2 linked regions of the Lepisosteus oculatus genome follow. The protein of the gene in region 1 interacts with the protein of each later gene in a pairwise test. Links are inferred from orthologs where the notes say so. Each region holds a gene or a part of one and is shown on either strand. Other genes may lie near its edges.

Region 1 (6,876 bases):
GCCCCAAAAGGGGACGCAGTGCTACCCCTGGTCGCCCCAAAAGGGGACGCAGTGCTCCCCCTGGTCGCCCCAAAAGGGGACGCAGTGCTCCCCCTGGTCGCCCCAAAAGGGGATGCAGTGCTCCCCCTGGTCAACCTAAAGTTAACACTACAATATCTCTGCTCGTCAGGGTTGGAATAACCGTCAACTTAACGCAATTTACTAATGAGACGTAGCAGTATGGATTAAATACTTACGCCAAGCCACAAACAGACTTTATCTGTGGGGGGTACCAAGGCCTTGCAATACAGGTTATCAGCCAGCAGGAAGTGGGTTTCCAAAGGATCTGTGGTGTCCTAAGGCAGGTGGAAATAAAATCACAGTAAGCAGCTGCAAAACACACAAGAGGGGTGGAAAAGAAATTAGACCCGGTGGGCAGTGACCCCATGCGGCCGAGATGTACCTTTTTCTTCTGCATGTGTTTTAAAATTTCGAGTGTTTGCTTAATTTGGGGGATCTGGCTTTTCAATCTGAAAAGAGACAAAAACAGGAAAGCTGGGAGGTTAATGGGCAAGACCGTCTTCCATCACACCGGGACATCTGGAGGACGAGTCTCCGGACGCAGGACCGGGAGCCGTTTGACGGCGTTCCTTTACAAAGCCCTGAAAAAAATGGCTCTCTCTTCATGCGCCACTACATTCCGCGAGCTCTGTTCACGGCAGCAAACGCTTTCTACTCCCAGAAAACTCCCCGTTTCTCAAAACAGGCAGTTTTTTTAAATCCCACTTAATGATGAACAGCTTCAGGCTCCTCCTAATCACTTAACCTCAAGACTGACTGGAGCAACACAACCCTCTCCTGCGAGTATTCAGACCTACGGTTTAGCAAGACCTATAACCCCCATCACCCCCACGGGCGACGGGCGGCAGAGACGCCCTCGGGCTCACCTCAGCTTCTTCTGCGCCAGGTTGAGCTCCATGAACTTGTACTTCTGATACTGCTCATCCAGCTTCCTCAGCACAGCGTCAGCCGTCTCATTGCCAGGCTGCTTCATGAAGGCGTCCACATCCTCCTGCGAGAGAGAGGATCTGTGAAATCACCCCTCCTGATAGTTCATCGGGCAACTTTACTCGGCCGACTCTTTTATCCAAAGCATCATGTTTCTACCCTTTATTTACCACTGGGTATTTCACTGGGGCAGTCTGAGTGATGTACTTTGCTCAGGTGTACAGCAGCCAGTGCCCCTCCCATATATATGCCATATATGGACATCAGGGCGGTTACTCCTCCCACTTCCTGTCACCATGGTAACCCGTTGGCACACTAACCCTCATGTTTAAAACCACAAAGGCAAAATCTCTTCCATACTGGGTAACAGGAACTGAACTGTTTCGTTATCGGCTTTGTGAAATTGCTCGGGAATGCATTGATAAAGCCGGGCTTTCTGCTACATCAAGACTCCGGCAGCTATTTAATCCCGAGTGTAGGCCCGTCATGGCAGACGTGCCCTACTCTAGTAGAACAAGACTCCACTTGAACAAGACTCTTGTTCAAAGAGGCACTAGTGAACAAGAGCCCTCTGCCCAGGCGCAGTTCTAGTACAATACTGCAGGCTCCTTCCTGATTTGCTCTTGAATCCTGAACTGAATTCAGAACTAAGAGAACAAGAGGCAGATGGAGCTGGGACCAGGAAGGCAGCTGATCAGAAAGGTCAGGGATTTAATTAATTGTGCCGACATCGCCCCCAAGAACCACATTCAGGAAGACTCGGGTTCCAACCCTGGGCTCAGAAGCTTAACTGTTTTGAAGATGATACTAGCTCTGGGTCTGCGTCAGTCCCATTAATCAGCCCGGAAGACGTCTTTATTCGTCGTGTCTCCCAATATAAAAGCAGTCGGAGGCTTATCATGGCTCTGTAGAGTCTCCACTCAGGAGACAGTTGTTCTTGTGCCTGAACATGTTAAAAAAAAACGGTTTCACTAAGAAAATAATCTATGTAATGTTGGGCCAAAACGCTTTTTTTTCCCATAATTTGCCCTGTAAAAAAATCCAGATGACATTTACACAGAAACAACTCAGCAACGGGTCGAAAATTACACCAGTACGGGCAATAGCACAGAAACATAACGATAAAGACAAAGGGGTATGGAAGATGCCATCGCCACTTTTGGTAATGAACTATTGCAACATATGATTTGCTCTGATTTCTTAACCGGACCTCAAACGGACATTTCGTTTACGGTTCTCGGTCACGCCATCTAACGACAATGGAGCTAGTGAGGTTCTCGCTGTGGAGCAGACACGGGTCCACCTCCTTCTCCGCAAACGACAAGCGCGTCTCCACGACCCGAGGTCCTAACCCAGCACGCAGTGACTCATCTGCACCGCGCTGGAGCCCGCGGCCGGAAGGGCTCCTGAACTGAAATATTGACGCTGTCAAACCCGCACCCCAGCCGAACTGCTAAAAAATATATATATTTTCAATTAAATAATACAAAATACGCCGATCCAGCCCCCCTGATTATCTTATAATGTTGGTCGGAACTTGAACGTCCGAAGATTGTAGTTGAGACAAGACATTCAATCGACTTGCTTCCACGGTACAGCGGTAACCATTGGATACCATAAAATCTATGCTCTGGGTGTGGAGGTATGCTTAAAAATGCATTTGAGCTCTAAGGGTGCGGGCTGCTCAATGCCCCATTGTCGTCCGCCCGCAAGCGAGACCACCCTTTTCCTTGTAGTCTCAGATCCCGGTGCTTAGCTTTCATAGTCGAAATGTCTCCAACTGCCTTTTAAGGATGTGGATGGCTAGCTACTGTAATATCGGATTCTCCTTTCTGCACGGAGTTCTCCCAGCCCTTCATCATCAATAATTCTCCACATGTAAAAAGGCACAACAGACGTTGCCTTTGGCCTCTTACCACAAATACAGCCTCCGGGATGCCTAAGTGTTTTCGCTTGCCTGCTGCCACAGCATTGCTGCTCTCCGTGGTCGCCGCCATCTTGGACAGATTTCCCCTCACGCCATGCAGCGGCGCTGACGTTGTGCGTAGCGAACGTGGACCCCACCCATCACCTTTCCCCGCCTCCTCAGCCGCAACTGCAGCTCTGATTGGACGCCGGGGAGAACGGCTCGAGCGGGTAGGACCTATCGTAGAGAAACGCAGCCGGATATGGGCGAGTCCCCCGCAAGGCTTTCTGGAGAGTGTAGTTTAATCTTTCGTTTCTTTGTCCAAGGTGGGGGAACAAGTTAGGGCGGGGGGGATCCTGGTGTTGTAAATTTCAGGCTACTCCTGAAATAATGCTAATTTATTTTCGGGAGGAAATCGTTTAAAACACCGTCATCGTGAAATCTGACACTAAAAGCAAGGCTTTGAATTTAAACAGCTGAGCAGTTATCACAATCAAAATATGCAACCTAGCCTTTATGACAAGTAGTTAATCCCATGGATCCATTCATTTTCTAACTGCTTTAGGGGTGTCATGCCTATCCCAGCAAGCAACAGGCACAAGGCAGGATACACCCTGGACTGGACACCAGTCCATCATAGGGCAGACACACAGACACACACACCAGGGTCAGTTTTCCCAGAACAGAACAGAAAGTTAACCAACCAGCATGTCTTTCGATTGTGGAAGGAAACCAGAGAACCCAGAGCGCACCCATGTAATCATGGGGAGAACATACAAACTCCACACAGACAGCACCCTAGGATTTGAACCCAGGCCCCCTGCACTGCCAGGCTGCAATGCTGCCCCATCCAGCTGATGAATATTTATTTTTCCAAGTAGAGAAAAACTGTTTTAAATAAAAAATGATTAATCTGCCGCCGATTTTGATCGTGCGGCTTAGTTCAAAAACAGATGTTCCCTGGATCCTGGGTTGAGTTTCAGACGAGGGCACCTTCTGGGTGGAGTGTGCATGTCTTCGCATGTTCCCACGGGTTTCCTCTCGCTCTGCAAAGACATATGTGAGCTACGTTCATTATATTTGTTGTCCCCGCTGTGTGTGCGCGCACTGCAGTGGATTAGCGCCCCGTCCGGGGTGCGGGTGCCGTCCTGCGCCCTGTTTTCCCAGAATGGGCTCCCGGTTGGCGTGACCCTCGCCAGGAACAAGCAGCTTCCTGACAACGGGAGGCAGGAAACTCAGTGGCCAAGAAAATCTTGAGAGTGAAACAGCATATTATAAACATGCAATATATAAACAGAATATCGGGTGGAGTGGTGGCTCTGTGGCTCAGGATCTGCGCCTGTGACTGGAAAGTTGCCGGTTCAAATCCTGCAGCTGGCAGAGGAATCCTACTCCGTTGGGCCCCTGAGCAAGGCCCTTAACCCTAACTGCTCCAGGGGTGCTGTACAATGGCTGACCATGTGCTTTGACCCCCTGCTTCTCTCCCTGTCTGTGTCTCATGGAGAGCAAGCTGGGGTATGTGAAAAGATGAACTCCTAATGCAAGAAATTGTATATGGCCAATAAAGTGATCTTATCTGATATTAATAATAATCCTCATCATTAGTGTAATCCTTACAGTTCTATAGTGCTTTTTTGCAAAGTACGTTACAGGTAACGGGGAATCCCACTAACACCAGCAGTGAACAGAATCACCTGGACGATGTGACAGCAGCCATCATGATCATTTCTCAGTGGGGAGGAGAGCAGAGTGATGAAGCCAGTTCATGGGGATTATTAGGAGGCCGTGAGTGGTTAAGACCAGGGGAATGGCTGTTTGTCCTATAGGATCATGCTAGTTATCCCTGGGATCTAACTTCCTAATGTTATTTGTTTTCCCAATTCGTTTATGCATTTATATTCAAACTTTTCTTCTTGCATTATCTTAATTTATGAATTGATCTATAAGTAAGCTCATGGATATCAACCCCAGAAACTCAAGTCTTCTGCCACTTTGAGCACAGACAGCTGGCTCAAACGTAGCCGTCTCCTGAAGTGCTGTTCATCTTTTCTTTCCTTTTGTAGTTTTTTACAGCAAAAAAAAACAACAACCTGACTACAGGCTCAACACGCAGCATTGAAACAAAGCTGTTGTAAAGCTGCACGTTTCCTCTCAGGGAAAAGTGGGCTTTATCCTGATGGGGTTCCCGATCTCGGCTACTTTTCAAGGACATGAAGAAAAACCAAAACAAGACAAGACAGACAACACCCACACGGGGAGAAACAGTTAATCAAATATCCAGTTTATTCAAATATATAGAAGGCTTTCTCAAATAAAACTTAATGAAACGAAATGAAACGCAACCGGAATCCTGCTAACGGCAGTGCCCCGGCCGGGCCCTGGCAGAGGAACGCCGAGCCGTTGCGTGGCTGTCAGGGCTACACGCGCGGACAAGGAAGTGCTGTGTTACTGGGGGGGATGGCCGGGAGCAGGCTGGTCAGCATCAGCCTGTGCTCTGCAGAGAGCGGTGCTGTCAGGCACAGAGGCTGTGAGATTGTCCCACCAGTTAAACTCTCATTAAAGGCCCTTCAGCGCATTTCCCCTTATATTTACAGGGAGATCTGCTCCTCCCCCCCAAAAAAGCACACTGAGACGTTAGTTCCTTAAATCTTCCAACTTAGTGATTTCCTCAACCTGACCGGTTACCCTTATGAAACGGAGCGCCCTCCTCATGGTAAAACAAAATCACAGCTTCTTCTCTTATGAGAGTGCTCATGGGTGTGCAGGTCGTTTGAAAGAGACCTGACGGTAATCACAGGCTGGAGAGGAAGTATCTCAGTGGATCTGATTTAAAGGGTGCTCATGCGGTCCACGGCACAGGGATGCTGGAACTTTCAGCTGGAAGCTGGGAAGGTGGAGCTACGACTGCCCCCCCGGTCCTGTGGGAACGGAGCCTGGCCCGTCCTGTGCTAATGGGTCCATCACAGCCCGGGGGGCAGGGGGCAGGGGAATTCGCTGTTCGCGGGGGGAGGGGGAGATATCAGGAGAGGGACCGGTTTCGGGTCCTCTCAGACCGCGACAACAGACACAGTAAAATACACAAGGCAGGTAGGGCAAGCAAAAGTGCATCAACGAAGTATCGATTAAATTATCACAGCGCTCCTACGGTTTGCCGTAGGTCACGCACAAAGAGGTCCAGAGTGGTCTGTTAGCTTCCTTTCACGAAGACTCTTCTCTGCTGAGACAATCGCTATCAGTGAGTGCGGGCAAAGCAAGCCAAGAACCAGGAAGGGCGCCCAAGACAGACATTTCCCACTAAGAACAGACAAGATTCTTCTTTAGCCTTTGCATGCACGGGCTGCCCCCGCATAAAGGCTGTTTCTTTAGGAATTTACTACCTTGTTTTAATCACAAAGCATGAAACCGTTTAAAGAAGTTGAATGATATGGGACTAGGGCACCGGGACCCCCAGGCTACGGTCCCCAGCCCAGTCTCCTGCGCTCAGTCCTGAAGGCAGTCCAAGTGGTTCCCCTTCACCCAGTAACAGATCTGTGCAAACTTGAGAGGGGTGAACCGGACGGCGACGTTGAAGTCTCGGTTCTCCCCGTTGATCTCCAGCCACTGGTGTCCCGAGAAGACTCCGATCACCTTCCTCTCCCAGCGCTCCAGCGCGGCGTCCCAGACGCGGCCGTACACCCCCGAGCCGCTGGCGCCGGGCCGCGCGTCGCAGTGCTGGTAGATGAGGTCGTTGGACTCGTCCTCCACGGGGCAGAACCGGTACACCAGCTCTCCGGGCCGGTCGCTGTCGAACCCGGAGAAGTGGATCCGCTTGCCCGCGAGGTCCTGGGCGGAAGGGGCCACGGAGAGACGCATGTAGGGGCGCCGGTGGGGGGCGCGCAGCTCCAGGAGGGCGTAGTCGAAGTCCATGCTGGCCTCCTGGGGTCCCTGGATCCAGCCTTTCGGAACCCGGGTTCGCTTGACCCTCACCCAGCGCACCAGCGGCT
Region 2 (7,800 bases), on another chromosome or scaffold:
ATGATGCAAAATTGATTTTAACTACAATGCTACTTACTAAGATTTTGATAGATTTAGATTATTTTGTTGTGCTAGAGTGAAGATGGCTGGTTATCTTTTAACCCTAGGTCCCTACCTTGTTACCACAAAGGAGGTGCTGTCCAGGTTGTCTATAGTTCTGAATCGAATGCATAAAATGCCAGAATTCTTCCATGATTATCTTTGTCTAGGCATGGAGTTCAAACTTAGTGGCTGCTTTGTACTTGTTGCAGAATCCTTGTGGTGATACTGTTCATTGTTTACAGGAGTGAGTCTTGATTTAGAGACAGCTACTGTAAGTGAAACATATTCTAGGATGTATTGATATGTGATCATGTGTAATCAAGAACTTCACCATTAAAAATAAGGTATTCAAGAGTTTGTGTGGTAGTAAAAGCACTATACTGCAGGAAGAGGTATACTTGCATAAAGTGATCTTCCCCCTCACAGCACCCCGCAGAGTTTCCCAATAGTCTTTACTTTGGACAATTGCCTGGATAGAGGAAATATTTCATCCTGTGTCATTCACCTGAGCTGAGGCTTCAGTTCAACTCAAGAGACACGTGATGAAGGGAGCTCCAATTAAAAATCTAATCTTGCTATCTAACAAAAATTGAAAACTTGCAAACATTTGGAACCTTTCAATTTCATTTCAAAGTTTCATTTGGCTAAGGGCATGCAACAAAAGTGCAACAACATGTAATTTATATTAAATGACAACTTTCTGTCTGAGAGCTTTATACTTTCGAAGTCTGAGGGCTGTGGGTGGAGGAGTCAGGGTTAAGGTAGACTTTGGAGCACATCTGTAATTTCTGCAGTCAGAGATTCATTAAAAGAGCTGCATAAAATGTTTTTGTTATCATTATTACTTGAGTTAAAGAAGAAGAACCTTCACTTATTTTTAAGTGGTTTTAAAAGTTTTAATGTTCATATAGAGAACGATACTTATGCAAAACACCTCTTTTAAACAATACCTTAAGAAAAAGAATAGACACTGCAGAAGACATTTTATTACTATATATTTAAAAATATATATTTTCAATTAAACCTGAGTGACGCATGTGTGTTGTATCCCTTTTCTAAGAATTCTAGAAAATGATTTGCCCTCATTCATGAATTCAACAAATTTGTATCCTCTTTTATTTGCACGGTAGCAATCTAAACAGTATATTCAAGGTTAATCTATTATGTCAACATGAAGACTGATAGCCTTGTGCCAGATCAGTTCAAAATGTATTTTTTTCTCTTTTTTGGTTATTATTTAATAGATGTTCATTCAGGACATTCAAATGGCAATGAGTTCTTCAGTTCTTTTACGCCACTGGCAGCTTATGTCAATGATTATAAGATAAGACCATTATCACTCTAAGATCCAAAAGTCATGTAAAATTGATTTTCTTCTGATATGGGTTACACATTAACTCTCATGTGATTTAACTAAAATAATGATGTGCCTGGTAAAATAGATCCAGCCTGGATTTAAGGACCCACAATCTGAATTTGTTAGTATATACCTGTATATATTTAATTGCTGCCAATGTAGGCGTACTCATCAGAAAACAGGAAATAGCTGTGCAGTGTTATAGAAGATGTGGATAAGCAGTGGCAGACCAGTTTATCTGTGTATATATATGAGCACTGTAGCCAAATCTTAGTATTTATTATCATTATTACTTTACTTAACAAGATCCATCCATTCATTTTCTAACTGCTTCATGCGATTCGGGGGGGGGCAAGGGAACTGAAGCCTATCCCAGCAAGCAATGGGCACAAAGCAGGGTACTCCATGGAAGGGGTGCCAGTCTATCCCAAGGCACAGACAGACACAACCAAATACCCTACCAAACTGGAGCACCTGGAGGAAACCAACACTAATGCAGAGAGAACATAGAAACTCCATGTTGACAGCATCCCAGGAATTGAACCCCAGCACTCTGAGGCAGCAACGCCAATCACTGCATCACCTACTGATTCTACAAATTCTAATTTACATAGACAACTAACTGGCTAGGCAGGGTACACTACTGTGATGGTAAAAAGAACAATAAAAGACAGCAAAAGAAGAAAAAGATGACATTCCTTTTGCTGTCATATTGTTTATTGGGATAGTGCCTTCATCCACCTTTAAGAACATAGAGAATATATTTAAGACTTTACTTTGCCTAAACACACCCTACAATAGTTTCAGGTGTTAAAACAGGTATGAACTGCTTACTTATGGGACTACCGCTAAAACATAATTACTATGAAAATGATAGCGTCTTAATTTAAGAGATCCTTTTGCATTGTTTTGCACTACCTATTCATGCACAAATAATAGATGCATCTGAATTTGTTTTGGGCACAGACAGCATAAAGGAAAAATAACATTCTTGGGCACTGCCTAGAGAACTATATTATTCATAGGTGTGGTCCATCCAGTCCACACTTGTGAAAATGGTTTAGCTCTGGTATGACTCATGATTCCTGAGGACAAAAGCTGAAACGTGTCAGGCCAGTTCTTGCTGTGGGACAGAAAGTTTCTCACAAGGTATGTATGACTCTGGTACATCACTACATCACTAAAGCAGCAGGAAATCTGGAAAAAGTGTCAATTCAGACAGCCTCAGGGGTTGACATTACTGACATGTCAACCCAAATTATCCCATTGGGTCACATTATGGGGGGTCCACCCCTACCCACATCTCATGCAAAGCTACATAAGGCTCTGCTATGAGTTTTTTGCAGATGATGTACAGTATAAAGTAAACTTGCATCACGGCAAATACGTGGACAGACAAATATTTGAATAGAAGGTCAAATTTGTAGAAAGACCAGAAAATATGTGGAACTCCTGTTCACCGTGTACAGACAAGAGCCCCACATTAAGTCATCATTTGCAAAAGTAACATTTTACTTTTTTCAATTTAGGTCAATTTTTTAATTTGGTCAATTTAGTCATTTGTTTTCATGTTCAAGCACATGCAGTATATAGACATGATACGTTTTTACACATTTTAGTGAAGTTGGTTAACATTAGCAGTAATGTAATAATAATCAGAGATCATATTAGTAAAGACTATCTGATTATTATTAACTGATCAATTATTAATGATCAGTGAAAAGCCCTTCAAGATAACATCAGAAGTTACACTCATATCCTCACCTATCAATTGCACCACTGAATGAGGACAAGCAATTGCTTTGCCCATCATGTTCAGGAAGTACTTGAGCTCAGTGTGAACTGAGTTCAAATTCATTCAATTCCTCTTGAGCAGAATCATCCATTACATTACAACAGTTTGTGCAACCTGAGGTTTCTATGACAGCAATAGTTAGGTCTTCAGGTCAATAACACATTTAGGATCAGTAGCTGTGCCATTTAAAAAATTCCTTCAGGCACAGGTGTTTCGTTAATCATTCATTCTACATTCTCTGAAAGTTAATCATTTTTGTACATTCCTCAACTTAAACTTTAAACTAAAAAAGAAAAAAAAACTCGATATTGCTCTTAAATTTATTATAATTATAAAACCAGAAAAAATATTATATTAATCCTGCCTGTTTCAGCATTTCTTTTTGTTTCCTCTAATGTTTAAAACCCATCAAACACAGAAAGGACATTTTTTAAATTAATCAGCTGTGATAAACGGCGTTCATAAAGGCTGAAGATTCATAAACATGAAGTGTTCAGATACATAACATGCAGTGCAAGAGTTTGACTAATATATTTCATGTGAATACATATTTCTTTTAGTCTGTCAATGAAGAACATTCCTTTTCTCTTCTTTGTCTTTGAGCACATTTTGGTCACAAGGTGACAAACTGACAGTATTGTAAATGCCATCTTAATTCTGCAACTTCAAATTGTAATATCCATTGATTTAGAAGTGATGCCTTTTTGCTTACATTTTATTTGCTTTTTTCATTGTTTTCCTACATTCCTATACTGTCTGTCTCGAAGATGAAAATGCTGTCAGGATGAACTGGTAAGGTTTTCTAAGGTCGCCTGTTCAAGCTCAGCATTTCCCATTTTATAGTTAGTTTATAGTAATAGTTTTTATGTTTATGTTTTTGCTACCTGCATGAAACTCTCGGCACATATCTAAATAAGATATAATCTGTTAGCTGTTTTCGCTAGTCTTTCCTCTAAATCTTTATGAATTTAGTTCGCAGACTGCGTGCTCGTCACTTCTGTATCATATGCGTGTGCGACTAGTTTGCTAACTGTAACAGAATATAGATCATAAATATAAATCACAAAGAACAGCGGCTGTGTCCTATAAAAAACCGTATCCTATTAAACACTGTTCCATTATTGACATTTCTTATTCGCGTTAATTAGTATTGCTAGTAACGACAGCAAGAGTTAAGCATGCAACATGACGTTATAACTACCAAGTATTAGTTGGAAAAGAAATTAAGATAAAATACAAAATCCTTGACTAATATAGCATTCAATATTCGGAATGGAGGGAGAAACAATTATATGTTAAAAATCCCTTTTATGACTGTTTTAAAAAGTAATTATTCCAGTATTAAGAAGATAATTAAATGATTTTGTGACACGTCTGCCACCTGCAGGACATTAGAAGTATTACCGTAAAACTCCTTTTTATCGGCCAAACTTTTAAACTTCCATGCGTTCTTTGAGTGCGTCCCTTTAAACGGAACCTACCACTTGTTTAAATAAATTATATACATCCAGAAACCGATATGTGAGCTACACATAAAATCATTGTGCATTGTACTTAATTGTATTAATATTTTAAAGTAAAAAATGAGAACCCGCACGTCAATGAAAACGCTGTAAATCAAAACAAATACTCCAGAAGGTATAATTCTCCACGTGAATGAATAGATTCGTCCATAAAAATGGCAGCGACCATGAAGAAGTCTGTTGTAAGTAATTCTTAACAGGTTTTAGATTTTATTAATCTTTTTGTCGGTCTTGCTGGGTAGGCATGTATTATGTGTAATCTGGAAATTAAAGCTGGTAAAGCAGTTCTATTAGCGTGTGCACTAATTAAGTCCATCTTCGTTATAGACTGTTATGGGTGTGGTGGTTAATATCGGTGAGCTTTTGATCTGTTGTTGGTTTCAGACAGTAATATATAGTTATATATTGCATTCCATAAAGCTCTTTAGTAATTTATTATTAAGAATACAATCCTAAACGCCGTTAGTAAACGACAGCTGCATTTCACATAAGCAAGAGACGAAAATGGGTGGTATTAAGTAAAAATAATACGCAAACGCTTTAAATGGAATGAATGAGGTTTAAATTTCTGAAGTTGCAAGTACAATCTCTATATCGTTGGATAATTATCTTTGAAACTATTCTTATTATTAACAAAAATAATTTGAGCACGCAGTATGTGACCATTGGATTTTTGTAAATGACTACAGCTGAGGACCAGGTCTGAGAGTCAGTACCCGGGGATTTTTCAAGAAATTACCGAATGAGATACTCTGATCAGTACAGGGTAGCTACTACAAGCACCAACGAGCTAAGTGGGCCCACTTGCTTTCTTTTCTTTACATTTTTTCATATCTTTATAGGCAGTAGAAGACGTGAACGTCACCTTTGAAGACCAACAGAAGATTAACAAATTTGCTAGAAACACAAACCGGATGACTGAACTCAAAGAAGAAATAGAAGCAAAGAAGGTATATTTATAATTGGCAAGTGCACATTAGCGCATTTAATTGAAGGCTATTAAAACTATCTGAGCTTGGAAGAAAACTATTCTAAAATACCAGTAGCAATCACAAACAACAACAACAACAAAAAAAGGTTTGCCTTGTTGTTGGGCAGATCTCCTCAGTTATGTATTCCATGATGACGTTTGCCTCTCTTCTTCAGAAATCTCTTCAGAACTTGGAGGACGCCAGTGATGACATCATGATGTTTGATGATGACACCTTACTAATTCCGTATCAGATTGGTGATGTCTTCATTAGCCACACCCAGGAGGAAACACAGGATATGTTAGATACTGGGAAGGTAGGCCTAGCTTTGTGAAGTTCATTCTAATCCATGGTTAGTAAACAGCTGTAAGAGTCTTACTGCTCTAGGGTCCTGGGTTGGTTTCTGGACTGAGGTGAATTCTCTGTTCTTGCTCTGTTTGATGGATGGATGGATGGAGTAAAAAGCAAACTGTTGTCTCATATAATTTTACAGATTCCATAAGTTACATTACTGAAAGCACATTTTATTGCTTATCTTCTGCAGAGGGTGTGTTTTGTAGAGCAGCGTGGCGGTTTTTATCTTTCCTGTAACAGTCTTCTTTCTGAAGAGCTCAATAACACTGATCGCTTTGTTCCTTTTTAACGAGTTCTCACTTCTGAGTAAGTCTTACCCTGTGATCAGTTAACAGTCAGCTGGAAAAAGCTGTCGTAATGCTCATCAATATAGTATGTTTGATCTGCTCTCTTAAAACATGACCCTTCAGAATCAGTTCTCAACTTTATTTGTACTGAAATGCTATGAAAAGAAACCTAAAACAGCTGTAGACTCACCTAATTATCTTAATAGATGCAAAAAAATGGAATGTGAAAATTTGAATTGTTTCACAGCAGTAAATGAAGTTATTAAGGAAAAATAACACATAATTTTTAATTTAACATATAGTAAATAAACACAAAGGTGATATTTTCAGAGTTTCCTGCAAGGAATGTGTGAGATTTTCTGCTGAAATCTTGCAGGTGCATACTATTTGCATTGATGGTTTCTTTTAATTTTTGTACAAAAACACATTGGTTAATTAATGAAGTTGTGAGTCTCTATAGCAGTTTCTAAATTTTATGTTACTTTGTTTTTTTTAATCAACTTTGACTTGATGTAAATACTTGAGGTCTGAGAATTGTGAGATTCTGTACCATTGCAGCTACTGGCAGATAAATGATCTTGCGGTGTATCATTATGAAACAGTATCTCAGTATGGATTCTTGTGTATATTATGTCTGCATTTTTTGGCCAGACGGTCCGTCTGGTCTGTATACAATAATAGAGAATAGTATTACTCCAGAAATTATGTCGAGCCAAGATCCCAGATTCCTCTTTGCTTATTTAACCATGTTTCAGTGTACAGTTTCAAGCTTACTTGTAACTTTTATGTGACTATGAAATATACCTTATCAGAAGTTTTCAGCTGTCCATTGATATTTTGTACCATCAATTGACACCCTATTCATATCAATTTCTACCTCCTATACTTAAGCTGTTGAAGCTTTCCAAGTTTGGGGATAGCTGAACTGACATCAAGATTGTTAAAATTAATGCATATTCATACTGGTATGAATGATCATTTACTTTAATAGAAGAAAACTATTTAGTAGTGTGGTTTCCTACACTTACTTTAACAGAATAAGAAACCATAAAATATAAATTATTTTCCTTTGCCACTCTCAAAATATAAGTTTGAAAATTAAACTCTGATGTACTCTAACCTGAGGAAAGCTGGAAATGTGAAAGTAGTTTTCCCACAAACAACTCCGACAAGACAACTCTGACTTAGAAATAAATGTAGATTACTTTTGTATATTGTATAAATTACCTATTGTTGTTATATACTGTTGTACCTGTGAGGAACTCTGTGTGTGTTGGCTGTGAAGGACCAGGTTAATTTCACGATGGAAAAACTAGAAAAGAGAAACCAAACATTTTGGCTGAAGAGTCAGGTATTTGTAGATACTTTATATACTTTGTACTGTGTACTATATACTATAAAGTATATACAGTATTTTTGTATGTTGATTCAGTATGAAGTGCAAAATTAAGGATTATTTATTTCCACAAAG

The links. The genes of interacting proteins can lie anywhere in the genome.
Region 2: the proteins of vbp1 (region 1) and pfdn4 interact in binary tests that used the Homo sapiens proteins (3 or more experiments, as listed by UniProt). The link is inferred for Lepisosteus oculatus from reciprocal best matches to the Homo sapiens genes VBP1 and PFDN4.

What each region holds. Positions count from the first base shown.
Region 1 is NC_090703.1:47,078,760-47,085,635, reverse strand, and holds the start of vbp1 (prefoldin subunit 3), read right to left. Parts: upstream 3,015-6,876; 5' UTR 2,985-3,014; coding exon 2,904-2,984; intron 1,052-2,903; coding exon 927-1,051; intron 510-926; coding exon 443-509; intron 336-442; coding exon 237-335; intron 1-236. Other genes in the region: prss23 (serine protease 23), read right to left, coding at 6,374-6,876. UniProt on the Homo sapiens protein: Binds specifically to cytosolic chaperonin (c-CPN) and transfers target proteins to it. Binds to nascent polypeptide chain and promotes folding in an environment in which there are many competing pathways for nonnative proteins.
Region 2 is NC_090711.1:11,177,975-11,185,774, reverse strand, and holds the start of pfdn4 (prefoldin subunit 4), read left to right. Parts: upstream 1-4,795; 5' UTR 4,796-4,872; coding exon 4,873-4,899; intron 4,900-5,559; coding exon 5,560-5,667; intron 5,668-5,863; coding exon 5,864-6,004; intron 6,005-7,800. UniProt on the Homo sapiens protein: Binds specifically to cytosolic chaperonin (c-CPN) and transfers target proteins to it. Binds to nascent polypeptide chain and promotes folding in an environment in which there are many competing pathways for nonnative proteins.